Linked DNA regions of Tamandua tetradactyla. The protein of the gene in region 1 interacts with the protein of each later gene in a pairwise test. Links are inferred from orthologs where the notes say so. Each region holds a gene or a part of one and is shown in the gene's direction. Other genes may lie near its edges. The genes, in order: CHD3, HABP4, PTN and IMMT.

Region 1 (7,450 bases):
CAAAAAACAAAATCAAGCAAAGAGATGTAAGAGAGGAAGAGAAAAGTGAGATACAGAGACTGAAACAGTTATATTCAGGAATTAAAAAAACAAGCAAGAAATGAAAGAACAGTATGTTGTGTACAGAAGTTTTATCATCCTTCTGAAAGAGACCTAAATACATGGAGGCTTTATCTTTTCTTCCCCCAAGGAATTATAAAATCTCTAAGGTGGGATGTGAGATGAGCCAGAAGGATAAAAGTTTAAGAAGCAAGATTTTTTAAAGTAAGAAGAAGACAACTTCTTGGGCAGGATTCGGTCAATAGCCGAAGGGTGCTGCTGTACTTACAAGGATTTAGATTCATATGCCTTAAAGAATTCACATAAACTGAGTAGGAAAAGCAGGGCAGGCCTCACCTACTCTATGTATTAGTGACAGTTCAATTTATAAACTACCTGTACTTAATAACAGAAACTATATTTATATGTCATTTTTTAGTCTAACCATGCTTTCCTGTCTTTTCTCAATTAATACATACTTCAATGATGAAGAGACCAACAAAGCTGGGCTCTCATTAAGACAAGTTACAATGTAGAGTAGAAAAGGTGATTAAGAGAAAGCAAGCCTTTCCTGAGCTCTCCTCAGGACCTGGTACCAAAAGCATGAAACCAGCAACTAGTCAATCAAAAAGACAAGACGTAAGAGACGGCCAGTCCACCAAAGCAGGAACGACTCATGACAGACAGGGGAACAATCATCCAACCGAACTGGGAGAGAAGTGAAAAGAAAGTAGACTTGTGTGTGTAAAGGCTCTTCGATGGAACAATATCCAAGAAATGTGAAATAGCTGCTGCCTCTGGGGAAAGGACCTGGAGGCGGGGGTGAAGAGGGACAGGAGGGAGGTTTACTTTTCACAGCATACCTTTGTTCTTTAAAAATTTTGTACCTTATGTATGTATTAGTTATTCAAAAGTTGATTGGAAAAAAGAAAACTAAGCAGAGATGAGGAGAGCAAGAGCCAGGCAGGGAGTCAGCAAAAAGGAGGCGGGAAGATAGCAAAGACCAGGAAAATGGCAAAAAAATGGAGGCAGGCAGACTAACTGCCTGAGTAACCAGGACATCAAAAAGAAAGAGGTAATTGAGAATGAAGGCAGGTGGTAAGAGAAAGCATATGGCAGGAAGGTAAATAAGACTTTAGGAAGAGGGAGCACTTTGAGTTTGGGGAAGAGAGACCATTGTCATTAGTGGGATGTTGACAAAGAGGAGAAAGTCAAGAGAGGAAAAGCTGAAAAGCAGAAAGACTAAAAGACACAAGCATTAAACAGTGGAATACCAGCAGACAAGTAGGGTAGACAGACAAGAAGATAGACATAAAAGGGAAGCAAGGAAAAATCATGAATTTAACTGGTATAAATAAGAGAAGCAAGTAGACAGAAGAACAAGATAAGAAACAAATTGAGAAAGGGAACCATGGTGAAGTCTAGAAGGTAGACAGACCAAGGAAAGCAGGCTAAAAAAGTGACAGAGATAGGCAGTCAGGGAGACAGATGGCTAGAGAGAGAGTGGCGGGCAAACAGCCAGAGAAGCAGACAGACAACCAGAGAGAGAAAGAGGCTGCCAGGAAGCCAGGGAGGAGCAGACAGGCAGGCAGGCAGACACCATAATTGGAGCAACCAGGTAGAGGGAGAGAAGCAGGTGGAAACAAGGATAGGAGGAAGAAAAATCAAGAGGTCAGTAGGGAGGAAAAAAGAATCCAAAAGAAAGATACAGGCTGGCAGAGGGGGAGAAGGACAAGGAGAGGGACAATCAGGCAAGCGAACAGATCCAGATGCAAAGCATACTCAAGAGAGAGTGACAAATGTTTGTACAGGGATGTTACACAGCCACCTAGAAAACCAGCTTCAGCCACCCACACCTGCAAATCAGGGCACATGTGGCAAGCCGGCAGAGGTACTTGCCAGAAATGGAGGGTGTCACAGAGGTAGAGGGATTGCAGTGCACACGATGTACTGTGTGGCCCAAATACATGTGGAGACACTTCCAGACACACACAGGGGGCCAGAAAGAGGGGGAGGCAGGCACACATGAGGAACAGGCACACACAAGCAGAGACCGGAAGGCAAAATTAAATTAAGACAGAGATGGAAAGTTACTTAGAGGTGACAGAACCTAAGAAGCATGGGGATGAAGAAGACCGTTTCAGTAAAAAGATGTACATACAAAAAAGCCCATGTACAGAATGAGGCAGGGATACCTAAATGGACTAGGACTGAGAAACTGTGAAAGAGGAAAGGAGAACAAAATCTATTGGAAGAAGACCAGTAGGACTCAGTACAGGAATATGGGAGGAGAGGCAAGGGGATTCCAGTTAAGAAAAAGATAGAAACCATTGTTCAGTAAAGTGTGTTTGGGGAAAGCAGTGGGTCCTTGATAACATTTTAGCCTCTTCAGCAAAAATGTGCATATTATTTTCTTTCACTAATACTTTCTGCCTGCTGCCTACTGACCCCTGCCTTTAAGAGTGCTCCTGAGCACTGCAGAGGCTGGTTAGGGACGCAGCTCTACTTAAGAGACAGAGAAATAATCCTGGAGAAAAATGATTCCAGAGGCATGGGATGGGAAGCAAGAAAAGGGGCAAAGTGAGAGGAAAAGAATGGCAGGAAACTAGAGTGAGAAAAGGGTGACAAGAATGAAAAAGGGTACAACTAATCTCTCCTCCTTCTTCCTTTACTTAGCATTGCTTCTTGGTGTTAAAGGTAGAGGGATGGTGTCACTCCACCTCCAACTGGCAAGTTTTATGTCTGGACCTCTCTGATGTCTAGATCAGGAAGCCACTTTTGGATTCCTTTCCAACCTTCCATTTGATTCCTGGTACTATTTAAAGATAAACACTGGGATAGTGGTGGAAATCATGGGTTAGAACATCAGATGAAACGCCTGAGTGTAACCCCTACCTCTGTCCTTCTCTGAGTCCCGGTGACTTTTCTCTTTCATAGTACCTCAGTTTCTTCCACTTTGTAAGTGTTGGAGATCATGGAGGAAGGAAATACATACTGAAATGGGAGAAAAGAGAAAATAATTTCACAATCTTCAGACTTGATTCTTTTCCCTTTATTCTAAAAATCAGTTCCATTTACACCCCAAGTTAATTTCCCAAGTAAAAATTTACATTCAAGCAATTCCGGGAGGGGAGGGTGAAAGAGGAAAAAGAGTATAGATAAAATTTACAACAAAGATAAATCACTGAAAAGGCTGGGCAAAGGGGAGAATCAAACATGGACTCCTTTGAAAAAAACTCAATCATCGAATCTATTCATATCTTTCCCCCAAAAGTCACTAGAAATTCTATTACTTTTTTTAAAGAAAGAAGGAAAAAATCCAATACTGATTCTCACTTAAAACATACGTACACAATTAAATGCGTTTTAACGTCAACGAGGTATGTAGAAACAGAATTATATATAAACATATATTTCATCTTTTTCCTTTTCAATGCCTGAAGGGGAAAAAACCTTCACATCAAACCACTCCCTTCTGAAGTATTCAGAAAAAAAAAAAAGCTTTTCTTTACAGAAGGGAGGTGGGGAGGAAGAGACTAGTAAAGAAAAGAAAAAAAAATTAAATCTAGTTGGACTAGTATCTAACTAGTTAACCTTTAACAATTTATGCTGATGTCAGACTGAGCATGAGTACTGATTAATGCCCCCCCCTCAAATATTTTTTATAAGGGGGGAGTAAGTCAGCAGCCATTTTTGTTTTATGCAGAAATCCTTCATGCCCCCCCAACACACACACACACACACTTCAGTACACAAGGAAAATATCTCTATTAATCTGTGCACTAATCAGTTATGAAAAAAGGGAGAAATTTGTGGGTTTCTGGGTAGAGGCTTGGAGATGGGGGTGAATAGAGAGGAGAATGGGGGGGTGAAAAATGAAATATTAAGCCAGCCATTTTGTTTTAAAAGGGGATTTTTACCCCCCTCTCCCTTTCTTTATGGAGGGGGTGGCGGTCCTGGAAAGGGGGGGTTGTTTTAAAAATAATTTCAAGGCGGCCATCTTAGTGCCTCAGCTCTAAGAAATATTTCTGAGCGCCCCCCTCAGAATTTAAATATATTTAAAAGCAACGGAGAGGGGGGTAGAGAGAAGTCGAAAACTTTTATATATATATATATATATATATTTTAATCCCCCTTTCTTGTTCTCTTGGGAGGAAAGACAGAGGGGGGAAAAGTCAATTTTTTCCAAGAAAATTTTGGGGGTGGTTTAGCCTCCCTCCTCAGACGGCGGCCCCGAGGGTGGGGGTTTCGGCGGGGGGTGGCCCGGGGGTTTGGGGGGCTGGGGGAGGCGGTGAGGAGGAGGACGCCGCCGAGGAGGAGGAGGAGGAGGAGGAGGAGGAGGAGGAGGAGGAGGAGGAGGTGGTGGTGGTGGTAGCGGTGGGGGAGGCGGGCGGGCGGTGGGTGGGGGGGTGGTGGGGGGGCCAGAGCCACAGGATGGCTTCCCCTCTGAGGGACGAGGAGGAGGAGGAGGAGGAGATGGTGGTGTCGGAGGAGGAAGAAGAGGAGGAAGAAGAGGGCGACGAGGAGGAGGAGGAGGTGGAGGCGGCCGACGAGGACGATGAAGAAGACGACGACGAAGGAGTGCTCGGGCGCGGGCCGGGCCACTACCGGGGCCGCGACCGCCACAGCCCCCCCGGCTGCCACCTCTTCGCGCCGCCGCCGCCGCCGCCGCCCCCGCTGCCCCCGCCGCCGCCGCCGCCGCCGCCCCCGCCGCCAGGTAAGCCGCCGCCGCGAACCCCCAGCCCCGTGTGGGCGCCGCGGGCGGGCTAGCTAGGCCGGCCGGGGGCGAGGCACCCACCGCGCGGCCGAGCCGAGGCGAATCCGGGCGCCGGGCGCCGTCTTGGCCCGTCGCCCCCGGCGGTCCGGGCGGTCCGGGCGGGCAGCGGCGGCGGCCGCCGCGGGGCCAGGCCTCCTCCCCTCCCCCCGCACCCCTCCCCCGCCGCCGCCGCCGCCGCCGCCGCCGCCGCCGCCCCGGCTGGAGAGCGCTGGGCGCGAGCTGCGCGCGCGGACCCGGCCACTCGGTCGCGGCTTTCGGGGGAGGAGGAGGAGGAGATTTTTATTTTTTTTACCCTCAGCGGGGAGGGGGTAGGCAGGAAACGGCCGAGGCGAAGCCAGGGCCCCCTCCCTGGCCGAACTAGGGACCGCGGAGACCCTGGCGGCCGGACGGCGGCGTGGGGGAGGGGCGCGTGGGGGAGGGGCGGCCGCGCGAGCGCCCCTCGGGTCCGGGCCCCGGTGGGGTTGGACCGAGGGAAAATGGGGTTTCCGCGGGTGGAGCAGACTTTGGCCCTAACCCCCTCCCGTCAGGAGTTGGGAAGGCAGAGTGGGGACGGTGGCTTTCGAACCCCCCACCTGCGGGGACTTTGGTGCCCGCCAACTCTGGGGACTGCGGTGGCACGTGGGGGAGGGGTCGTGTGGATGTTTGTGGGCGGCTGATAAGTAGGGGCGGGTGGTGGCCACACTCCACGCAGACCACTTCCTGGAATAGGACTTGGTCACACACACCCCCACCCCCGCCCGAGTTTGGAATCGAAACAGCAGACACTTAAGATTGGGGAGTCCGAAGAGAGTGCCTGGGACAACTAAAAGCCCCCAACTCCACCCCTTCATCTCTCCCCTGCTCTGGGCTCTTTGTGTCAAGTGCGCCTTCCCCCTCCACCATGACCCCATCAGTCTGGGGTGGCCGAGCTGCCCAGCTGTGACTCTCACGTGGCTGCCATCCCCTGTCACTCACTTTCGCGCTGAAACCATCCACACCCTGACCACGTTGGGGGCGTGAACTGCCCACCCAGCTGTTCTGGAGCTTTACCACTACTCAGCACCCCTCGCTCGAGGTGACAAGTCACCTGGCATCCCTGGGCAAGTCCACGGGTGGTAGAGGGGACAGACGGTTTCCTCGGCTGTCTCTCTCCAGGCGCCCAGTGGTAGCCCCACTCAGAGACACCTCGCCGTGGAGTTAGGTTATTTCTAGTCTTCTAAGTGAGCATCACTGTGCTCACACCCCCTGCTTGGGGAACGAAAGGGGGACAGCCACACCTCTGGATGCCATGCAGCACAAATGCACCAAACTTCAAAATGTCTAATATCATTCTCAGTATTTTATATATATATATACACACACACACACACACACACACACACACAAATATAACAGTTGTAAAAACTGTTATATTTGATCATTGAGGCTTATGTGGCAAACGTTGCTGCCTGGTTGAGACAAACTTTGAAGGATTGTGTCGAACTTTCGGAGTTGGGGGGAGGGTGGGGAGGGGGCTGTTGTGTCTCAGGGAAACAGGAGAGTAATTTTTTGGCCTGGTCTTCTGTGAAAAGGAAAAGTTTTTACGAACTTTCCCAGCCGGTCTACTGTGATTTTGTGTGAGGGAAAAGGAATAAAGGGGGGGGGGGGCGGCTTGAAAACGACAGAGGTGCTAAAAAGGGCGGTGGGAGGTGGGGGTGTAGGATGTCATGTTTGGTTAGGGCATTGGTAGCTCGCACCCACTTGGATTCTCAGCTTGGAAGGTGGTAATTGTGCTTTTTTGAAGCGGAATTTGGATATGTGCAAGAGAAGAGCCTGAAAGAATCTAAGATTGAGCTGGGTCTTTGTGTCAATACTCCCTTCCCCCTTTCCTTCTTCGGTTTCTGAATAGATGAGAAGAAATGTCAACTGGTTTTAAAATTTAATGTTTGTAATGAAAGTTCACCTCCCCTCCTTCCCAGGGCAATTTTCTTTTGTCCCTTTTCAGCCCTCCAAGTCAAATGAGTGACCCAGATACACCCCCTCAGATGACTTTGTGAGGTAAAACTTTGGGAAAATATTTTTAGTCTGCTTATTTCAGTTTAAGTGTGGGGAAAATAACCCTCTAAGGAAATTTGTTCAGGTTGCCCTTGTTCATCCTTTTCTAGAATATGAATTTGTACATATTAGAGGTTTCCATTGTTTTTTCACTCTGACTGCTTTCTCACCATTTTGTTTTACGTTCTTACCCAAGACCAATTTTATCCCTTCCCCCTCTTTCCAGTCTCCTTACATTGTTAAACGTTTAAAATAATAGCACTCGTGCTGTTGGGGGAAGGGAGCAGGAAGCCAAAACTCATTTCTTCTCCCTCCCCCTTCTGGCAAGTCTAGAGAAATAATATAACATAATATATAGATGTGATTCCTTGGGGGTGGGGGTGGGGAATGATTGTGGGTGGTGCGGAAAATTCTGGTAGTTTCTTTGCAAAAGGCCTGAAAATACAAACCCACCCCCTGCGTGCAATACGCATGTGCAACAGACCTATTATGGTGGCTCGTTGTGGGGGAGGGAGGAGAATTTGAGAAAAAATAAATATATGTGTGAGAGATTGATGGTGAGATTAGAAGGAGAGAGGGGCGGGCTGGAGGCGAGGCCTGTTCAGAGACTCCTCCTCCTCG
Region 2 (7,073 bases), on another chromosome or scaffold:
TCCGTCACCTTGAGAGCACATGAGCCCCACCAGTCCCAAGATGCAGCAGCAGGCGCAGACCCAGAGGAGCTGCTGTCAGAGTGGGCTGGGGGCCTGTGCAGCTCAAGGGTGAGCCAGGAGGCCAGGTTGTCCATGGCAGCTGAGGAGGGGGGAGGAACTGATGGAGGTCGAGGGGGGCCAGGGGGGCCCAGATGGCAGGCCAAGGAGTCCCAACTAGTGGTCACTTGCTGGTTCTGCCAGGCAGACTCAGGTTCCTGTCCACAGTCACCAGCAGGTGGAAGGGAGTGGGAGCCCCTGGACTCGACCCCACTCCTGGTACCAAGTTGTATTAGTTAGGGTTCTCTAGAGAAACAGAATCAACAGGGAACACTCAGAAACATAAAATTTATACAAGTGTCTCATGTGACCATCAGAATGCAGAGTCCAAAATCCGCAGGGCAGGATGTGAAGCCAATGATTCTGATGGAGGTCTAGACTAACTCCAAAGCAGTAAGAGAGCCTGTCTCTTCTGAATCCTCCTTAAAAGTCTTCCAGTGATTAGATTAAGCGTCACTCATTGCAGAAGACACTCTCCTTGGCTGATTACAAATGGAATCAGCTGTGGATGCAGCTGATGTGATCATAATTTAATTCACTGAAATGTCCTCATTGTAACAGACAGGCCAGCACTTGCCCAACCAGACAAACCGGTACCACCACTTGGCCAAGTTGACACATGAACCTGACCATGACACCGTCTAATCAAAAGTTACTACCCACAATTGGGTGGGTCACATCTCCATGGAAACAGTAAAAAGATCCCACTCCACAATACCGAATGAGGGTTAAAGAACTTGACTTTTCAGGGGTACAAGACAGTTTTAAAACAGCACAGGAGGCATAGTAGGTCATTAAAGGACAAACTCCTATCTATCTGTGTCATGGTTAGGGACAGGTGTCAACTTGGCCAAGTTGTGGTACCTGTTCATCTGATTGGGCAAGCGCTGGCCTGTCTGTTGCAATGAGGACATTTCATAGGATTAGGTCATGATCACGTCAGCTACATCCACAGCTGATTCCATTTGTAATCAACCAAAGGGGAGTGTCTTCTGCAATTAGTGATGTAAATACAATCATGGGAAGCCTTTTAAGGAGGACTCAGAGGAGACAGATTCCATTCCTGCTTTGGCTGGTGAGCCTCTCCTGTGGAGTTCATCCAGGCCATCCATCGGAGTCATCGGCTTCGCAGCCTGCCCTGTGGATTTTGGACTCTGCATTCCTACGGTCACGTGAGACACTTTCATAAATTTTATATTTGCAAGTGTTCCCTGTTGATTCTGTTTCTCTAGAGAACCCTAACTAATACAATCTGTATAGCCCCAGTTTTTGCAATTCTACACACAAAGTGCACTCTAATTAACCTGACTTTTCTGATCTCATACCTGTGACTCTTTCCATATATGTAGTTTTCCTTGGGATGGCTTAATCATTCATCAAAGTTCTCATCAAAAATTCTCTCCTTACTGTATGTAGCCTTTCCCAACTCATTTTCCTTAATCTTGTGACTGGAGGGCCATGAACTGTTAACACTGAGAGTTTGTCAAAGGGCATGTGACTAAAGGACTTCCCAGTGGAAGGTGAGTGGCGGTGGTATCTGAGCCACTGTTTTCCACAGCAGCTGTACCATTTTACATCCTCACTGCAAAGTACAAAGCTTCCTGTTTTTCCACATTTTTGCTGACACTTCTATTTTCTGTTTTTAAAATAACAGCCATATTAATAGAATATGGAATTTAATTTTAACACATAAAAATTATCTGTCAAGAGCATATGTATACCAGTAAGAGTAAGATGTGTCTTTATGCTAGAGGTACAGGACTTACAAACAGTGAAAGGAAATTGCTCAGAAAAATTCTGAATTTTAGGAGGAAAAGTCTCATGCGCGCCAGTATAGAAAATTTTCTTTGCCATTTAAACTGAATACATGAGAACCAGGAAAAAAAAAAAAAAAGCCAAACAGTTAAGTCCTGTTGTTCCTGGGAAGAGCCTGCCAATGCTAGGACATTTCTCTGAATTGCTAACTGTATACTTTATGAACATATTTTTAATCTTGTATGTTTTTTTAAAAAAAGCATATGTCAGCCAAAAACTAAAGGACAAATACTGTATGGTCCCACTGATGTGAACGGACATTCGAGAATAAACTTGAAATATGTCATTGGTAACAGAGTTCAGCAGGAGTTAGAAACAGGGTAAGACAATGGGTAATTGAAGCTGAAGGGATACAGACTGTGCAACAGGACTAGATACAAAAACTCAAAAATGGACAGCACAATAATACCTAATTGTAAAGTAATCATGTTAAAACACTGAATGAAGCTGCATCTGAGCTATAGGGTTTTTTTTTGTTTTTGTTTGCTTGTTTGTTTGTTTGTTGTTGTTTTTTACTATTATTACTACTTTTATTTCTTTTCTTTATATTAACATTTTATATCTTTTTCTGTTGTGTTGCTAGTTCCTCTAAACCGATGCAAATGTACTAAGAAACAATGATCATGCATCTATGTGATGATGTTAAGAATTACTGAGTGCATATGTAGAACGGTATGATTTCTAAATGTTGTGTTAATTTCTTTTTTTTTTCTTTCCGTTAATAAAAAAATAAAAATAAAAAATTAAAAAAAAGCATATGTATACAAATATGAAATTCATTCATTCATACAATTATTCCCTGAATGAAAGGTACCTTTCCAGGCACTGAGAATGAGGACAGAAAGAAGGGAGGGAAAGGATATAGAATGAATTAGCTAAGATTTCTGGCCTTAGGGAGGAGAAGTAAGGAGAAATAATTATAATTCAGGGCAAAAACAGTCAAATGCTATGAGATGTACCAATAATGTTGTTCAGGCTAATCATCACCTACATGGAATAATTTGTTAACCTGTGTAGCATCAACCCTTCCCTTTCGGAACTAGAAACCTTCTTTTCCTTGGGGAAATCACCTTACCTGCACCCTCACTACCTGTGGTTCAGGAGAGCTGACTTCACTCAGACTCTAAGCTTGGGTGTGACCCAGGACTGGCTGATCAGAGAATTAATTATATGCCCCTCAGTATAGCAACTGGGTCAAAGTTGTGCACGTGACTCAAGACAGGCCAGTGATGCAATTCGGGACTTCATATTTCGTATTAGCCTATTCCTGCACCAATTACTGGCAAGGGGGTGGTACTATAACGCATGATTTACGATTAATCATGCTTGAGGCTGGAAAGGAGCTCAACTTAATGATGCCCAAACAAAATACAAGTGCTGGAAATATGGAAGAGGGACAGGAATGGCTATAAAACAGGCAGCCAAGAGTGTCTGCCATAGGTGTCCAGGCATGATTTCCTGAAGGGAGTCCAGGCCAGGGCTTTCCTCTGAACTCCAGCAACTGACTATATCAAACCTCAAAATGTTCAAGATTGAACTAAATGATTCTCACTAAACTGGCCTCTTTCAAGGCTCTATTCCTTTAGGAGTAGCACCACCATTTTTTCTTTCTTCTCTCTCTCTCTCTCTCTTTTTCACTCACTTCCTAAGGTATGCCTTTCCAGACTTCATAATCAGGTCAGGTTCTTTTGCCCGTGGAGAACACTGTGATTTTCCTTCAGAGCAACTTTTTCTCAGTCTGCAGAAGACACGGAGCTAGTATCTCCTACAACATCAAGCCTGGCACACAGTAAGTGCTCAATAAATAGTTGCTGAGTGGCTAAATGAATATAAACCTCAGAGTGGTCGATAACGAATGTAGAACCAGTGTCCCAGAGAACACCTGCAAGGGGCTATTCGCACCTCCCCGCCCCTGGACTGCCCACCTCCCTTTCTCCTCCCAGTAGCTCCGCCCCTTAGCCAGGGCCCCAACCCTCCGCGGAATCGGAGGGGGAGGGGCAGAGAGTGCGCATGACGTGACAGCGGCCGGCCGGCGATTGGGCTTCCAGGCTCGCCGGCGAGGCAAGGGGGCGTGTCCGAGTGATCTGATTGGCTGTCGGGCGGTGGTTGGGCAGGTTGCAGGGGCTGCGGCGCGGGGGCGGGCGTCCGGCGGGCAGGGAAGCGGGCGGGTTAGGGAGGGTGGCTGTGGCGGCGGGCGGGATGGGTCCTCGCCGCCGGCTTCGCTGAGACTAGTTCGCGTGGGCTGCCCGCGGCGGGCCCGCAGTGGCCGCGGAGGCATGAAGGGCGCTCTGGGGAGCCCCGTGGCCGCGGCCGCCGCCGGCGCCACGATGCAGGAGAGTTTCGGCTGCGTCGTGGCCAACCGCTTCCACCAGCTGCTGGACGACGAGTCGGACCCGTTCGACATCCTGCGCGAGGCCGAGCGCCGGCGCCAGCAGCAGCTGCAGCGCAAGCGGCGCGACGAGGCGGCGGCGGCCGGGGCTGGCAACCGCGGCGGCAGGAGCCCCGCCGGGGCCTCGGGCCACAGACCCGGCGCGGGCGGCGTCCGGAGGGAGTCCCAGAAGGAGCGCAAGAGCCTCCCGGCCCCCGGCGCGCAGCAGACGGACAGCCCCGGGGGCGGCCCGCAGCCGCCCGGTACGCGGTCCCTGGGTGCCCCCGGTAGGCGTGGGGGGCGGGAAGGGAAGGAGCTGGGGTCACGGAGGTCATCCTGCCCCAGCCGCCCCTGGACCCCCACTGTGAGATTGGGTCACTGGAACCACGACCCAGAAAAGGGAGGGAGCCCTGGGAAGAGCTGGGTCGAATTTGAGAGTCCCTGTGGTTGTGGATAGGAAAAGAAGACCCAAGTGGGTGGTGGTGTCCCGCCCCTTCAGGCCTTTCCCACCCCGTTTTATTGATAGGGAAGGGGTGGAGGCTTGCAGGTGGGGGAGGGGGTGTCTCGAAGCCCCGAAACTGAGGCTTTAGGACGAGTTGCACAAAGTTGACAAATATTGCTGGGGTAATGTGTGTGGGGCGAAAACTGGGGGCTCCTGTCCCGGAGCTGTCAACTCGAGAGCTAGCAGAGACCATCTTCCTTCTCCAGCACGACCTCCGCAAGGTTCAGTTCTGGAGGCAAAAAGAGAAGCTTGAGGGGGAGGAAGGGGCGCCCCTCTAGGAGAAGGTGGGGGAAAGGGGGGCAAGAGGAGTCGCAGGGAGGCCGAGGCGAGGGGCCTCCAGGCCTCTGTGATGGAGGGAAGGCCGAGGTGCCCGCGGGGGGCCGCCCTGTGACGTCAGGGCCGCGGTGCTGGACGCGGGATCCCCGGCTTCTTCCACGCTCAGCCCTCGCACAACCCCACTCGGTAGCTTCCAGAAGTCAGCAAGCATCAGTTTTAAGTACATCACGTATGTTGATGGGATGTGTAACTCGTCATTAACTCTGGGCTACTCTCAGGATACCGTCTTTAATGTGAACAATAATGCTGGAGCCTCCCTACGCCCTGTTTAGCAAGAAGGGCTGGGGAAGAGCTTGGAGAGCTACTGTCTGCATACAGGGAGTGTACTTCAGAATTCATCTCCCTCACCGAAGTGACAGCAGTGCCTTAAGAAAACCACCTGCGTTTCCTTTGTTTTTCTGAAATAAGGCAATGGTCCTGAGGTTTGCAGCAAAAATAGTTAACGTTAGGATGTATAGTGTGTTCAACTCGGTTTACTGATTTGTTCCTTTCTTGATAGAAATTGTGCGTTAGATTATTGAGAGAATGCCTGTAGGTGTAAGTATAGAGCATTAACTTTAGGAACTAGGTGATGATTTAACTTTATCTGGAAAGTTGAGTCCTGAAGTGTCACTTGAGAATCAGAAAATCGGGTCATTACAATAAAGATGTTGAAAATTCCCAAAATTGCTCTTGGGTATCTCAGGACTTCTTGTTAGGCCGGTAAGTTCATGAGCCTATTTAAACAGTGAGTGAGACTTGAGATATATTTTACGTTTTGTGTTATGTTCTATATTTCTCTCTTAAATGTAAGTGAGGATAGATAGCAATCAGAGTTATAAACTAAAGATTTGAGGAAGGCTAATTTTTTCCTCTCCCCGTTTCTAACATGTGAAAATACTCATTCTTTCCTTTAAAATAGTATGAAACTGCATTTAACGGTATCTGTTAATATATTTCATTTTACTTTTTAAAAAAATATTAGTCATATATTTTGTTATAAAAATTTTGAGCAATTCAGAAATGTATGAAGTAAAGTGAAAATCGTTTATTTTCCCTACTATTAACAGCTTGCATCTATATATGTGAGTTCACAGAACTTTTTTTTTCACTTAGTTTAAATTGGGCAGGAACCTGCTTCTTTACTTGACATTATAACCTAGCACACGTAGAACTTTTTTTTCGACATGAAAGTGAAACATTAATCCCAAGAGGATGTAGAAATGAAAGTTTTCCCATGAAGACTTAGGTTTTAATATCCTTGACCACCTGTCTAACAATATACGTAGACCCTTGAGTGAGCCTTGGAAAATAAGTTCATACTTCAGGTCAACAGAGGCAGCTTCAGCTTTGCTTTTCCTTTCAGAACTCTGATCTTTGAGCCAAAGCTCACTTTTATTTTGTAAAAACCTCACTCAGTTTTATTGTATTTTGTCCCTTCACTTGGGCTTGGGTTTAGATTAGTGCCAGCTTTTTATTAGAAAGGGTCAGTGAAATGAAGAGCTTGCATTATCCACTTGGAGCTGCTGATCTAGCAAAAAACAAACAGACTAGGTTCAGTGCCATTTGTGATCTCTTAACACTAAGTTATGAAAAAATTAATTGAACCCTAGTATTTTTCTTTTGGGGGGGTGCTGGAGGGAGAATGAAATGTTTACAGGGTATTGATGATAAAATTATTTTAATAGCCAATTTTTACTTAAAAGTCCACAGTTTGTTCCATAGTTTGGAAGAAACTTTAATATAAAATGTACAATAAATGTTGCATTTTAAGTGTTGAATACTGATGTCCCAATTGATATAGTAAGAAGAAAATGACTTGGAGGAAGCAGAAAGAATGTGGGATAAGCTTCTGTAATTCTGTAGTTGAATAGAAATGTTAAAAACTACAAGTTGTAGACAGGAAATGTATTAGAATAACTACTTTTATATTTTCACAACAGGTAAATGTCAAAAATTGTCATTGTTAACATATTT
Region 3 (7,703 bases), on another chromosome or scaffold:
ATCAAGTTACTTAGATTATTCAGAGACTGATGAACTGCAAATGTATTAAATTACAGGGAGAAATTTTAGCAGGCATTGTTCATTGTTTCCCAGATCCTTTCCACCTCTTCCTTTTTCTAGTATAATTTTATTTGGCTACCTGACTAGGGAAGCAAACCTATACTCTACTAGAGTTTGGCCTTGTTTACTGTAATCGAATATGCCTGAAGTTTCTTGTAACCATCCCAAGGAGTCCTAGATCAAAAACTGAAATGCAAAGTTAAAAGATGGAAAGACCTACGTCCTTGAAGACTGAAATACAGACTTCATCCACCTATATTTTAAGTGAGATAAATTCCTGACTTATTTAAACTAGTTTTAGTTGTTTTTTTATTTCCAATCAAAAAACAGCATACATATTACAAAAATATAGCTAAGAGAGAAGTAGGTTTTATAATCTGGTCACAGCAAAGTTATTAAATTTGAAATATTTCAGGGAGAGAAAGAGAAATGAATTAATGAGAATATTATCAAACTATGATAGCTTGATGAATTGCCCTTTTGCATTCTAGGGATATTGAAGAACCCAGAGCGATAATCAAGAATCTGAATTTTCTGCCAAGCAGGCAATCCAAGAGACACAATGACAAATTTTTCAACATGTTTCTTAACATTTTTTTAACTTCATGCTGATCACACTTCTCCTTGTATTTGTCACCGTAAAATTAGCAGCCTCATTTTCAACACAGCCTTAGGACATGTTATAATTTCTATGATTTTGAATCATCTTATATTAGTTATATTTTAGTCTGGAAACTCTTATGCAAGGGCCTCATTAATTGTACCTGGAAAGACCAAGCATTAGGAAGCCAAAATAACTTCTGACAGGAAATTTTGGGGACAGAGAAAATGTTAACGGGTAAACTATAGGAACAAGGGGAAGATATTTGGACAAGGCATGATTGCAACAGTCTCCCAGCTAGGATCTGTGCTTTCACCCTTGACCTCATGTGCTCTACTCTCAACACATCAGAGACTTTGTGAAATGGAGTCAGGCTTTTTTAATCCTCTACCCAAAGCCCCCATTTCAATCAGAAAAAATGTATATTTCTTACAGTGGCCAAAGGCTGAGCATGATCTGGTCTGTCAACTCCCCAACCTCACCTTCTCCCAAACTCCTCCTCAGCCATTGGATTCCAGCTACAATGGTCTCCTTACAGTTTCTCTAAGACACCAGGCAAGGTCTGGACTCAAGGCCTTTACATTCACTGATCCTGCAGTCTAGAGACTCTTCTCCCAAATACTTGCTTGGCTTGTCACCTCAACTTTTGTAAGCCTTCACTCCAATTTCACCCCAGGGAGTCTTTCCTCCCCCAAATCTGCATTTTTATTTAATTCTTATTTAATCTTCAGTATCTTATTTTTTCCGTGAAGCATATCACATCTTTAATGTACACTACAAAGATAAACCTTAAAGACATCATGTTGAGTGAAATAAGGCAGACACAAAAGGACAAATATTGTATGGTCTCGTTGATTTGAAACAAAATAAGCAAACTCATAGACTGTAGGTTACCAGGAGACAAGGTGGGAATAGGGAATGAGAAGCCAGGACTTAAAATATACGTGGTTCCTATTTGGAATGATGGAAATATTTTAGTAACAGATGGTGGTGATGGTAGCACAATATTGTGAAGACAACTAACAACACTAAAATATATATCTGAATATTATTTAAAGGAGAAATGTTAGAATGTACATATGGTAACAGAATTATAAAAACAAACAAACATGGAACTACACTACACAAGTTAACCCATGGACTTTATTTAGTAGTACAATTATAAAAATGTGCTATCATTAATTGTAACAAATGTTCCACACTGATGCAAGGTGTTGGTGATGGTACAGTATATGGAAATTCTATATTTTATCCACAATTGTTCTGTAAACCCACAACTTCTCTAATAAAGAAAACAATGAAAAAAAGTAAGTTATATGAAACAAGTAATTTTTTAGTTTTTTTTATTCATGAGTCTTACCAATGCACAAAAATGTAATAAGTGCTCAAAGAATGTTGGTGAAATGACTGAACAACTTGAAATCTTAAAACAAAAGAGCCGTGACTATGGAATAGAATGAAGTGTGGATTTGAGATTGAACATTCAGAGGGCATTTAAATTAATGCTCTACTTAAATTCTCCATAAACCATGGATTGAATGAAATTAGTATTAATCTCAATTTTACAGATTTCTATTTCTTTCAAAAAACAACTCTTGAATCTTTCTTTACATTTTTAAAATTCAGTGATTAATAACATTAGTTAGGGTTTCTCAATCTCAACCCTATTAATATCTTGGGTCAAATAATTCTCTGTTACTTGTAGGATATTTGGTAGCACCTCTAGCCTGTGCATACTAGTAGCACCTCCCCACCAAGTTGCAGCTGTGACAATCAAAAATGTCTCCAACCTTTGCCAAATGTCTCCTGGAGGGCAAACATACCAAGTGAAAATCAATGATGTAAATAAATTTTATGATACCTATTTGAATAGAGGTATATTTTGATAGAATACATATAATTGAGCAGAAGGCTTTGGGAATCTCATACTTACTTTATCAGCCCTATAGGGAACACCACAATAAAGCTAACATTGTTCACCTGGTAGCAACAGGTTATCTTTGTAGATGCTCAGAAAAAGTTTAAGAAGTAAAAGGAAATAGACAACCCTCTGTTTAATGGCCTGGAAACTCCACCTCTAGGGACTGACAGGAAATGTTGAGAAGTCCTTTTAAGGAAGGACCTGGAAAAAGTATTAAAAAATAACAATGTGATTCTTCCACAATTTAATTTAATGAAATTACATTAAAGCAAGCATTGCTTGCTTCATCAGGAAAATGGAATCACAAAAGGAAAATAGGCAACCTGAAAACTGTGTATAGAGGAAAGCAGTTAGTTCCTTATTTATTTCATTTGAAGATAGGGTGGGCTGTATTAAGGTTCTCCAGAGAAGCAGAATAAGTTTATCATAGGAATTGGTCATGCAACTATAGAGATTAGCAAGTCTGTATTTTGCAGGTCAAGATGCAAGTTGGAAACTCCAATGAATGTGAAACTGAATTCCCTAGAGGAAGCTAGCTGGTTGAAGTAGAGGTAGACATTCCTTTTAACTTCTGAAATCTCAGTTCTGGCTTTTAAGACCTTCAACTGATTGGATGAGGAGCCTCCCTTGTTGCTGAAAGTTATCTCTTTTGTTGCTTGTAGATGCAGTCAGAGTTAGATGCAATTAACTGACAACAGATGCTAACTCATCTATCAAATACCGTCACAACAACAATCAGGCCAGTGCTTGCTTGACAAAACAACTGGATACCATGACCCAGACACGTTGACATTTGACGTTAACAATCACAAGAGTATATTTGGAGAAGTTGGTTATGGAGATAGACTGGAGGCGTGCAAATGAATTGCTTATCCTTCTCTTAAAAAGACAAAAAAAAGCTTCACTTATTTACTTATTAAAAATTCTACCCAGACAGCTACTCTATGAGGCACTCATCCAGATAACCAGTCAATATAAAGGCTCAGGAGTCCCTAAAAACTACTTGCTACAAAACAATTCTTCAAATTTGGGGGGTTTAAGAATGATTCTAAGTGTTTAAGAGTTAAATGAGGTACATAATACATATTTTTGAAATTGACTTAAGGAGATGTAATCTCTGATCTATGGGAAATGGAAGGATATTTTACAACTGCATTTGGGGTGTACACCATCAAACGGTAAACTGAAGGATGTGAAAATGTGATGCAAGAAGCAGGAAGCAACAACTGATGAATGGAAGAAAAATTGCCCTTTTTATATTTTGAGAATGTTTGTGTAAATTTGTTTTATAATTCTTAAGCATTTTACACAATATCTCATTTTTATCACATTCATTTTTTGTATCACTAAAACAATTCTAGATTAATCACCTTAGAATCTTCCTTTAACTGAAGGAGATGGGAATTCCAGAGAGCCATGAAACCCAGGCTCTGAGTTAGACAAACCACAGAGTTTGAGTTACATTGATTAATCCCTAATGTCTGGGTGTCAAAGGCATGTCCCTAAATAGGTCAGTAAAGGTACCAAGCAATTCAAAAGGAGAAAGAGTCCCCTAAAGGAAAGTGACACTTAATTGGGAATTTTCAGGCATCTGCCATTCTTTGTGACAAGCACAGAAAAGTACCTTGCACATTTTGTGACATGCAGGTGAGTGAACATGTAATGGGACTGACATTCGAGGAAACTAGGACTTGTTACACGTGTAGGAAGGGAATCTGCAGAAATGAAAAGCCAGGATTTTAAGAGTGCGCATTTTCATCCTCCAAATCATTTGCTTCTAAAGGGGCCAATATTGTAACTTGAAATGCCATCGATTTTATACTCAAGACAGCCTACTCTGTAAACTGGGGTATCTACTCCTCCAAAAAAAATAGCTAATGCTTGAAGTTTAGAAAAGAAATACGGGGTGCATTTTCTTTGCTAACAAAAACAAAACAAAACAATGTTACATCTCATCACCTATTCCTTCAAATCCGCTTTCTTGCTCGTGTAGGGGAGAGACGGCCCCTGGAGTATTCTCCTTTTAATAAACTCCCAATCAGCTCTCAACCGCGCTCTCCCTCCCTAGCCCGGCCCGCGTAATCTCTGCCCGTCCCTCTCATCCCTCCCATTCTCCATTTCCTTTCCGTTCACTCCCTGTCAGGGAGTACTTGAGTCCAAGGCAGGATCAGGTTCCCCGCCTTCCAGTCCAAAAATCCCGCCAAGGGAGTTCCAGAACGGAGGAAAATCCAAAGTGGGGAGAGGAGAAAAGAAAAAGAGAGAGACCAGTGAGTCAGTAGTCCAGCAGCGAGCGAAGGCAGCAGCAGCCGGCGGGAGCAGCAGCGAGTCCCGTACCTGGACTCCGGGAGCGGAAAACCTCGCCCCTTCCAACAAAGGCAGCCTGAGCGCGGGAGAGAACATTTGCAACTCAAAGTAAGTGAAAGGGAATGTGCGATTTTTTTTTTTTTTTTTTTTTTTTTGTGGCGTCTTGGAGTTCATTTTCTCTTCACCCCTGCCCACTTTTCTGAGCGTCGCCAGATTATGGTGGTAGATGGGAGAGGGGCTACCTGGTGTCTTTGCTAAAATTGCTTTCTAAACTGAACCGGATGCACAGGCAAATTAAAGCAAATTTGGGGGATTTAGGTCAGGATAGTTAGGGTACATTTAGATGAGTGGCAAGAAAGAAGCTTTTGTAATGTTTTGCATTCATTTGGGCGGTGTTTCTGCTAGCAGCTGTAGAATATGCCAGGGTGGGTTGGAGGAATGCTTTTTGGCTCTTTGCAAAACCTAATGCTTTAGTAGGTGTGTCTGTGGCTGGATAGAGAAGAGAGGCGGCCTGAGCAGGCGGGTCTCATTTTTCATTCTTTTCTGCTTCTGATTGCCCCTGGGGCTTGCCAACTGATGATTCTTAGCTGGCATTTCTAGGTAGGGTGTGAGGACCTCCCAGTGCCAGCTGAACTGAGCACTGTGCGCCCTGCCTGCCAGCCCAGAAAGGGTGCTAGGAATAGGTAAGTCCTAGGTTTAAATGAGCCACCTTGAATCCCATCCCTCATTTCAATGTTAACTTTAATAACTGCAGGGCACAGACACTTGAACTTTCTATTTCACCCACATGGACCTAGGATACATTTATTCCTAATTTGCCAGATACTTACAGCTTCTATCAGAGATGATGCTTCTAATAAGCCAAAATTACTTAAAATAGAGGAGTGTGTTCAACGTCTTCTCTACTGAACACATCGAATACAGAGCTTTCTTTCCTTAACGTGCTCACATGCTTTCTCCTTAACACACCACACACACACACACGCACACACACACACACACACACACAGAGTTTATATACATTCTTTTGTTCATTCACTCCTATCTCTGTTAACAGCTTCTTTGTAACTTTGAGGATATCTTGAGAATATAGGAGTGGAATCAGGAAGAGAAGTGGGAGAGGAGAATGAAGAATTTGAGGGAAACAAAATTCTAGCCTTTCAGCATTTCATTTTAAGGGTCATCTAGACATTTTGCTTAAGGAGCTTAAGAAAGATGTGGAGTGTATGCGTGTGCATGTGCATGGTTGCACACGCATGCGTGTGTGTGTGTGTGCTGGAGGGTAGGGTAGGGAGGAGATCAAGAAACTACCAAGGAGCTCTTTTGAACTAATAACATAATGAACCAGTTTTGTGATCCTAGGCAAATGTGGACTTGACGAAATAGTACAACCAATTTTTGTCCCTTGATCATCTGAGGACATGTTGATATGTGTAAGTATTAAAAGGCAAATGGAGTGAAACAAAAGAGAAGTTTCACAATGTGGATAATGAAGCTTTTATATTTCATCTTTAGTATGCTCCTTCTAAAGCAAATTATGCCCTTTAAAGACCAAATCATTAAAAACACTCACAATCCTGTTAGTTTGAAGGAAAATAGAGTGGACATGATCTCTTTTCCCTCTCCCTTTGGCATGAGTTATCTCAGAATAGCAATATTTGTACTTTCTCAGTTAAATAAGATGATAATTTTTTTAAGATTAAGCAACTAATGCTATTCTTTTGAGAATTTTTGTACTTGAAGAGATATCTTGCTGTTCTTTAACCATTTGGAAGGCAATTTTTTCCTTTTCCACTGTTCACAGATCCCATTTAGCACTTTCTTTTCCTGATTTAGTGGAAGGCTTCTATGAGGGATACCCACTTAAAGCCATTTGTAACGGCATTAGGTACTGTGTTCCAGCTGTTTGCTTGGGGAAACAAACGCATTATTTTCTCAGTAGTAGGAAATGAAATTATTGTTATCATATGACTTCTATGAGCTGAATTTAATGTGATGTACTTAGACAATCTGGATAATATAATAAATGTATATAAATATATACATTTTATAGTACAATCTAAAATGTAATTGTGTGATTACTTAGACCTCTTCCCAGGAGATTTGGATCTATTAATTTACTGAAAGTTTTCATGTACCTTATTCCATCTTCACATGTAGCAACATGTAGCAGGACTCTTGCAAATTATGGACACTTAAAAATATATATATATGTATATATTAACTCTAGTAATGCCAGTGCCTGATTTGAATTTTCAGAAAACCTGATCATTGGAAATGGTCTAAAAACGAAATAAGGTCCCCAAATATTTTAACCATTTCCAAGAATCAAATCAACTTTAGAAATTAAATATTGTAATTAAATATTCTCTCTTTGGCGAATCTACTGCTTTTTCATTTAAATGTCATTCTCACATGAATTCTGGTCATAGTCTGATTTGTGGTGTGATGCTTTCATTACTACTCAGATTTTCCCAGGAAACGGAAGTTAGCCAGTTTGTTCAAATGGGTGCAATAAATTAATGGTAGATTGAGGACCAGAATTCAGAATTTAGAATATAAATTCCAGTTCTCTATAAACTTATGCTTCTTAACTTGGTGGCATGGGAATAAGGGGAGTTATCATTGCCCTATGTCCTGAAGATAATGTCCAAGTTGAGGACACTTTCAGTGATCTAAGACTAAATGGGTTCGGTTTCTAGATCGCCAGAGCACACTTCAACCCAGTTTAAACTCTGGTTGGCTCCAGATCACCAGACCAGGGTTTCAGTTCTCTGAATACTTTGGCTCCATTGTTTTGATGGTGATGCCTTCTCT
Region 4 (7,753 bases), on another chromosome or scaffold:
TGAGAAAGTGTTTTGTATTATTTCAATCTTTTTAAATTTATTGAGACTTGCTTTGTGACCCAGCATATGGTCTATCCTTGAGAATGATCTATAAGCACTTGAAAAAAAAAGGTGTATCCTGCTGTTGTGGGGCGTAACGTTCTATAAATATCTGTTAAGTCTAGCTCATTTATTGTAATATTCAAATACTCTCCAATCCTGAACACAGTATGCCCTTCCATTTATTTAGGTCTTCTGTGATTTCTTTTAAAAAATTCTTATAGTTTTCTTCATATAGGTCTCTTGTCTCTTTAGTTAAATTTATTCCTAAATATTTTATTCTCTGTCTAGATGTTCTGTCCATTGATGAGAGTGGAGAATTGAAGTCTCCAACTATTATACTAGATGTATCTATTTCTCTTTTCAGCATTTGCCTCATGTATTTTGGAGCACTCCGGCTCAGTGCATAAATATTTATGATTGTTATGTCTTGTTGAATTATTCCTTTTATTAATACATAGTGTCCTTCTTTGTCTCTTTTAATTGTTTTAAATTGGAAGCCTACTTGTTGGCTATTAGTATAATTACTTCTACTCTTTTCTGATTGTTGTTTGCATGAAATATCTTTTCCCAATATTTCACTTTCAACCTATGCTTATCCTTGGGTCTAAGATGCGTCTTCTGTAGACAGCATATAGATGGATCCTGTTTTTTAATCTATTCTGCCAGTCTATGTCTTTTGATTGCAGAGTTTAATCCATTAACATTTAGTGTTATTACTGTAAGGGCAGTACTTTCTTTTACCATTTTGCCTTTTGGATTTTATATATTATACCTAATTTTTCTTCTCTTTACCTTTGCTGATTGTCTTCATTTCTACACTCTTCACCACACCTCTCTCTCCTGACTTTTCCTATCTGTCTCTAGTACTCCCTTTAGTAGTTCTTGCAGTGCTGGTCTCTTGGTCACAAATTCTCTCAGTGATTTTTTTTGTCTGAAAATGTTTTAATTTCCCCCTCATTTTTGAAGGACAACTTTGCTGGATATAGAATTAGTGGTTGGTAGTGTTTCTGCTTTAGTATCTTAAATATATCATCCCACTGTCTTCTTGCCTCCATGGTTTCTGCCAAGAAATCTATGCATAGCCTTATTGAGCTTCCCTTGCATGTGATGGATTGCTTTTGTCTTGATGCTTTCAAGATTCTCTCTTTCTCTTTGACATTCTGATTAGTAAATGTCTTGGAGTATGTCTATTTGGATCTATTCTGTTTGGGGTACACTACACCTCTTGGATCTGTAATTTTAAATCTTTCATAAGAGTTGCAAAATTTTCAGTGGCAATTTCCTGCATTAGTTTTTCTCCTCCTTTTCCCTTTTCTTTTCCTTCAGGGATACCCACTACATGTATATCTGTGCACTTCATGTTCTCATTGAATTCCCTGAGTCCCTATTCATATTTTTCCATTCTTTTCACTATATTTTCTTTTGCTTGTCAGATTTCAGATGTCCTGCCCTCCAGTTCACTAATCCTATCTTCTGCCTCTTGAAGTCTAACATTGTAGGTTTCCATTTTTTTTTTACTCTTCTACTGTGCCTTTTATTTCCATAAGTTCTGTGATTTGTTTTTTCAGACTTTTGATTTCTTCTATTTGTTCATTCCTTGCCTTCTTTATATCCTCCCTCAATTCTTTTATTTGATTTTTGTTGAGGGTTTCCATGTCTGTTCGAACATTCTGAATTAATTGTTTCAACTCCTGTATCTCATTTGAATTCTTGGTTTGTTCCTTTGACTGGGTCATATTTTCAATTTTCCTAGTATGATTCGTTATTTTTTGCTGGTGTCTAGGCATTTAATTTACTTAATTAGTTTATTCTGGAGATTGTTTTCACTTTTTCTTACCTAGAATTTTCTTGGATGACTTTGTCTATCTGTTCTTTGACCTTCAGTTCAGCTTAGTCCACACCTCTAGCTTAAGTTTTGTTTAACAGATGAGAATTTTTCAGTTCTTGTTTTCTTGTTTCTTGCCCTGCCTGTATGGTGCCTTTTTTTCCCCTTAGGAGGGTCTACTTAGGTATTATACCAGTCAGATTTTCTCATACCAAACTGGCCTCCTGTCAGAAGGAAAGAGTCTCCTGTGTCAGTTTTCCCCGTGGGTGAGAAACAATGGATTGAAAGGCTTTCCATGAAGCTCAGATGTGGCCTCTCTCTCTCTAAGGCCAACTCTGCAAGTGAAATCATTGTCCTCTCCCACTATGTGGCACATGACATCCAGGGGTGAAAGTCTCCCTGGTGACACGGGAGATGACTCCCAGAGATGAACCTGGCCATGGCACCATGGGATCAACAATGCCATCCTGATCACAAGGGAGAAAAGAAGTTTAACAAATCAGGTCTCAGCAGCTGAGAGAGGCTACCCTGGAGATCACATTTATGCAAGTTTTAGTTAAACATTGCTACCTAAAATAACTTGCCAACTCCCAACTCTGCCAATCCTAAAGAACCCCTAGGGTGTTATATAAGATTCTACAAAGGTTCTATGTAGTACAGTAACTTTGCAGAAACCTACAACCTCCAGATGGGTCCCTGAACCAGATAAATCCTGAAATGCAGAGGGGCCAACCTCTCCAGAACATCAGTTAATTCTGTCTCCCTATCCCATATTATTGATAGCCCCTTCCAACATGAAAAAGTTACAATGGGCACAGCCCAAATACCCCTTAAGAGTGAGAGAAAGATCAACAGTTATGGTAGAGTTATACAGAGAAGGTAGGGTTTAGTAAATGCGATTGCTGGATTATTATATTGATATTTCTTTTAGTCTACAGTATCTTAGAGCAGTTAGAAGTAAAAACCTAAAATTGTGAAATGGTAACCCATAACAAAATCTGAAATTTGTTCTACAACTAATTGTTGTGATGTGCTTTCAAATTTTTTGTATATGTGTTATTTTTCACAAAAAAAGTAAAAAAAAGTTGCACTAACATCACCACCAACCACTATGTAAACATATCCATCACTCCCAACAGGAATCCTGTGTGTATATATATATATATATATATATATATATATATATATATATATATTTTTTTTTTTTTTCTTTCTTTTGCATGGCCAGGCACAGGGAATTGAACCTGGGTCTCCACCATGGAAGACAAGAATTCTGCCACTGAGCCACGGTGGTTCACCCAAGAACCCTGTATATTTTAAGCCTTAACTTTTCATTCCCTATTCCCACCCCATCCCTAGATTCTGATTCTATGATTTGCTTATTCTAATTCTTCAATATCAGTGAAATCAAACAATATTTGCCTTCTTGAGTCTGGTTTATTTCACTCAACATGATGTCTTCTGGGCTTTTCATGTTGTCACAGGAATTAGGATTTCATTTCTTTTTTATGGCTGAGTAATATTTCATTGTATGTACATATCACATTTTATTTATTCATTCATTGGTTGATGGACACGGGTTGCTTCCATCTTTTGGCAATTGTGAATAATGCCACTATGAACATCGGTGTGTACTGATAATATTTTAAAGCATAACAATGAATAGATCTGAAAAATTCCATGTGGATTGTGAGATTAAGGACTTGAGAGAAAGGGTAAGTAAAAGGGTAGGAAATAAGTGAGAGGCTAAATGGGGGTTTGAGATCTTAACTTCAGAAGGGTCACTAATGATGTTCAAACCCAAGATATGGCTGTCCCATACATGGATAGGGCTGAATGAAATTGCTCAATGGCACTAAGAAGTTCAAAGCCAGGATGTCAGAAGAGTAATCGAAATGGCACTACCCAAGCCTGACAGTGATGAAGAGGGACAGAGACGGACAGATCATGATTCAGTCACTAAAGTTACTTAGGAACTTGGGAAAACACTCTGTAGTTGTTGGGTGGCAAAGATGCATAACAGAGATAAAATGCAATTACTAAAGCACCCTGATAGCATAAGATATACGCAAATGTAAGTAATTATTTGATTTTAGATAATTTTAAAATCCATTTCTCCATTTTACAAAAGGGAGTAGTATTGCTCTTTACCTTTGGGTAGGATACTATGTCATCAATTACCTAGTTAAGACTAGAAAGAATTTGAATACACGACACAGGCTATTTATTAGATAAACCAAAGATACTTGTCAGATAACTTAGTTTCGATAATGTTCTGATTATAAGATTAATACTACTAGTAGTAATGAATGCCACGTTCAATATTTAATGTCGTAGTTTGATTATAGATTCAGCGGTATACTTTGCACAACAGTGCGTCTGCACTGACCTCCTTATCTTCTAATCTACTCCACAGACCCGGTCAAAATCACCCTCTTGAAATTAAAACTTGATGGAGAAACCGGTGAGAGGCTCAATCTAGAAGGAGTAGAAGCTGTGGAGTCCGACCATACAGATTATTACCCCTGCCCTGACACTAGATAACGTGAACAATACGTTCTGCACAACAGTCCATCCAGTTCACCCATCTCCTGCAGTCAGGGTAAATCCCTGAAGGGCTGTCAAGCGAAACATACGCAAACCGAGACAAAAGCATTGTTTAAGTAAGTCTGGCCAAACCGATTCGTTTCTACGAAATATTCAGCTGACAAACACCGCTGAGCTTCCTTGCTTTAATTCTCTGCAGTGTCAGACCTATCCGTATTCAGCGAGGGGCTACAGAGCTGGAGCCGCACGTAACCCGGAAACAAAAGTCGCCCTTTCCGCCTCCTTCCACCAATCGTCTCCGACTCGTAATCTCCTCTACAGCCCCGCTTCCGAGTTAGCCCATTCTATCGGCAAGGGGCGGGGCATGGAGCTGCGTGTGCGCAGGGACGTTGGTCGGTCTTCCGGTGACTGCGGCGCGGAGGGGCGCCGGACGTACGCACGCACGCCGCCCTGTTGCCCACACGCCTTCCCTTAGGCGCACCGCCCCGATAGCTGTCTAGTACTCCAGCCGCGCTGTTCACCCGGCCAACGAGATGCTGCGGGTCTGTCAATTGTCCGGCGTGACCGCCGCCGCCCAGGTGAATACAGGGGCTCTGGGAGAGAGCCCCGGAGGCGAATGACTCGGGGCCGCTAACGGAAAGTTGGGGTGGCTTTGGCGCTGCGTAGGCCCCGGCTCGACGCGCGTCTAAGGGCCGCCCTCCTAGCGAGCATTTCGGGAGGGGCTGGTGCGGCAGTGAATTCGGGAGTCCACCGACTGGGGTGACTGGAGACCCGAGGGTTATCGTTGAAGCCGGCGGTGTGGCTAAGTGGCGGGGAGGCGGGCACAGGGCTAGGCGGGGCTTCGGGCTGTGCGGTCCAATCAACCCCGTGTCGGCCCAGTCACGACCCAATCCCGGCTATGGCTCGCCGTCGCGGGTTGGACGCGCGCGGCTAGGTGAAGGTCGGAGGGCTGGACTACCGTTCCCAGCAGCACTTGCGGTGGCCCATCCTGGGTGCTGCCGCAGTGAGCAGGTGCCTACAACTGCTGGGCTCAAGGTTGTAATTACCCGGGAGGGACTGCCCTTCTTTCCCAACAGAGAATACCTGGGAGCTATTCTTACTCTAAGCAGAGTTGAAAGAGTCTAGCTTTTGGAGCCCAAACTCCTGTTAATGGAGAAAGGATGGGAGTCATGACCTTGATTTGAGGTCTAAGGTTAGCCTGTGTCTCCAGGTGCTGACATAACTTTGACCGACGTTCAAGGAGCCTAGACACCAAACCACTTTAAGTTTTCATGAGTAATCAAAGTAACTTACTAACATTACTTTTTTTTTTTTTTAAAGTAGGGCTATTTCCATTGTTCAGAGTTTACTGCGGATTGGTAGTTCAGTGAGATGTGTTGCAGTAATTGAACAAAATCTGTAGGCCTACGGAGAGAGAGGACATAAAAGTCAAACTTTGATTTTTGTTTTTGCTTCCCTCCAGGTTTGTGTCTTTCTGCATTTGTTGCCGTGGAAAAGAGAAGCAGCCTTTTCTGTGTGAAAGTGTGGCTGTATTAATTTTCAGTTGTTGCTTAATAAATTAACAGCTCAAAACAATGCCCATGTTTTTCGTACAATTTCTGTAGATTAAAAGTTTGGGCGTGACTGACTGAGCTGGGGTCTCAGCTCAGGGTCCATACGTGGCTGCAGTTAAAGTGTTAGCTGTGGTATGTTCTTGTTTAGAGCTGAGTATCCTCTTGCAAGTTTATTAAGTTTGTTGGCAAAATTCAGTTCCTTGCAGCTGTAAGATTGACTCCTGTTTCCCTGCAACTATTGTCAGAGGCTGCTGACAATTCCTGCTTTGAAACTCCCATAGGGAGTTTATAACATGGATGTTTGCTTTCTTCCAGGCCAATAGTAACTTGTCTCTCTGACTTTAGAATCTCTCTTTTCCTGATTCTTACCTCAGACCCTAATTTAAAGAGCTTATGTGATTAGTTCGGGCTCAGTTGGATAACATCCTAATTGATTAACTTAAAGTCAGTTTATTAGTAACCTGTATTGCATCTGCAAAATCTGCCCCCCACCCTTTTTTTTTCTTTTTGCCACAAAGCCCTAGTTATGGCACACCTTTTCTCATTTTGCTCTCTGTTTACATCTTGGCTGTCATTGATCTAGACTGTCTTACCTAAACTCCAAAATTACTTTTTCCTTTTGTTACTTTTATCAAAATACTTTCTGCTTATTGGGATCCCAATTAGGAAATAAGAAAAGTGATTAAAACTTTAAAGTGAACCCTGAAGCTCTCAGTTAAAACTTCTAACCTTCAAATTGTTAACTTGTAAAATGCGTTGGTTTATTCTCACACTCACCTCCGTCATTCTGCAGCATTTGATATTGTTGCTTTATAAAACTCTTGGCTTCTCTCACACAACGTTTTGGGGCCCATTTTACCCTTCATCTCTTTTCTGTGTTTCTTTTACTGAGTCTCATTGCTTATCTTTATATACTCTCATACTTGGAGTTATATCAGTTCTCAGAACTTTAACCCCTAATCAGATGACACTCTTCTGTTCTCTTTTGAGCTTTATACTCAAATTTCTGAATTCTTGTTTTAATTTTCCGGCTTTACCCAGAATATTCCACTTGTTAAAATCCTTTTCATCCCATAATTTAAAATGTTTCCTACTTTTTATCTTGCTTTCTACTGTCAGTTTATTACATAGTGGTTAGTAAAGGCTTTTAAAAAGCATATAGATCATACCTGCCCTTCACATCTCTTCACACTCAGAATAAATTCTAAACACCTGATCACGCCCACCTGGCCCTTCGTGATCTGGCTTCTTGCATATCTTTTCTACTCTTCCTCACACTATACCACTGATATCTCTAGCACATGCCTGTCTTTTCATTTGTTGTTTCTTTTGCTGGGAAGTCTACCTACACAGCTGTGCTTAGCTTGCTCTCTTCATTCAGCTTATTTTTCTCAACCTTCTCAGAGAGGCTTTCCTTCCTATTATTTCTTCAACAGACTTTGTTACCACTCAGTCCTTCTTGTATCACTCTGTTCTTACCTTTCTTTTACTTTGTAGCTCTTACTACTACCTAAAGTTATAATGTATATTTGTTGCATGTTTCCCCCATTAAATTGTAAGCTCCTCAAAGGGACCTCAAAGGGACCTCAAAGGGACTGTGTCCATCTTGTTCACTGCTGTATTTCCAGTACCTAGAATAGGTATTACAGTACTTGGCTCCAAGTAGGTGCTCAATAAATGCTTGTGGCATGCTTGGATGAAAGAATGAATGTGTTCCATCAATTTTTCTTATTCTCCATAAGTGAATGTTACCTCCTTTCCCCCATAGCTTTGGAACGTCTCATAG

Evidence for each region.
Region 2: the proteins of CHD3 (region 1) and HABP4 interact in a two-hybrid assay, tested with the Homo sapiens proteins (3 studies listed by BioGRID and IntAct). The link is inferred for Tamandua tetradactyla from reciprocal best matches to the Homo sapiens genes CHD3 and HABP4.
Region 3: the proteins of CHD3 (region 1) and PTN interact in a two-hybrid assay, tested with the Homo sapiens proteins (2 studies listed by BioGRID and IntAct). The link is inferred for Tamandua tetradactyla from reciprocal best matches to the Homo sapiens genes CHD3 and PTN.
Region 4: the proteins of CHD3 (region 1) and IMMT interact in a two-hybrid assay, tested with the Homo sapiens proteins (2 studies listed by BioGRID and IntAct). The link is inferred for Tamandua tetradactyla from reciprocal best matches to the Homo sapiens genes CHD3 and IMMT.

The regions. Positions count from the first base shown.
Region 1 is NC_135332.1:61,727,379-61,734,828, forward strand, and holds the start of CHD3 (chromodomain-helicase-DNA-binding protein 3), read left to right. Parts: upstream 1-4,446; 5' UTR 4,447-4,473; coding exon 4,474-4,756; intron 4,757-4,837; exon of another isoform or gene 4,838-4,925; intron 4,926-7,450.
Region 2 is NC_135328.1:123,551,433-123,558,505, forward strand, and holds the start of HABP4 (intracellular hyaluronan-binding protein 4), read left to right. Parts: upstream 1-4,070; 5' UTR 4,071-4,187; coding exon 4,188-4,542; intron 4,543-7,073. UniProt on the Homo sapiens protein: Ribosome-binding protein that promotes ribosome hibernation, a process during which ribosomes are stabilized in an inactive state and preserved from proteasomal degradation.
Region 3 is NC_135327.1:180,237,427-180,245,129, reverse strand, and holds the start of PTN (pleiotrophin), read left to right. Parts: upstream 1-4,687; 5' UTR 4,688-4,994; intron 4,995-7,703.
Region 4 is NC_135343.1:61,150,887-61,158,639, forward strand, and holds the start of IMMT (MICOS complex subunit MIC60), read left to right. Parts: upstream 1-4,739; 5' UTR 4,740-4,947; coding exon 4,948-4,992; intron 4,993-5,308; exon of another isoform or gene 5,309-5,449; intron 5,450-7,753. UniProt on the Homo sapiens protein: Component of the MICOS complex, a large protein complex of the mitochondrial inner membrane that plays crucial roles in the maintenance of crista junctions, inner membrane architecture, and formation of contact sites to the outer membrane.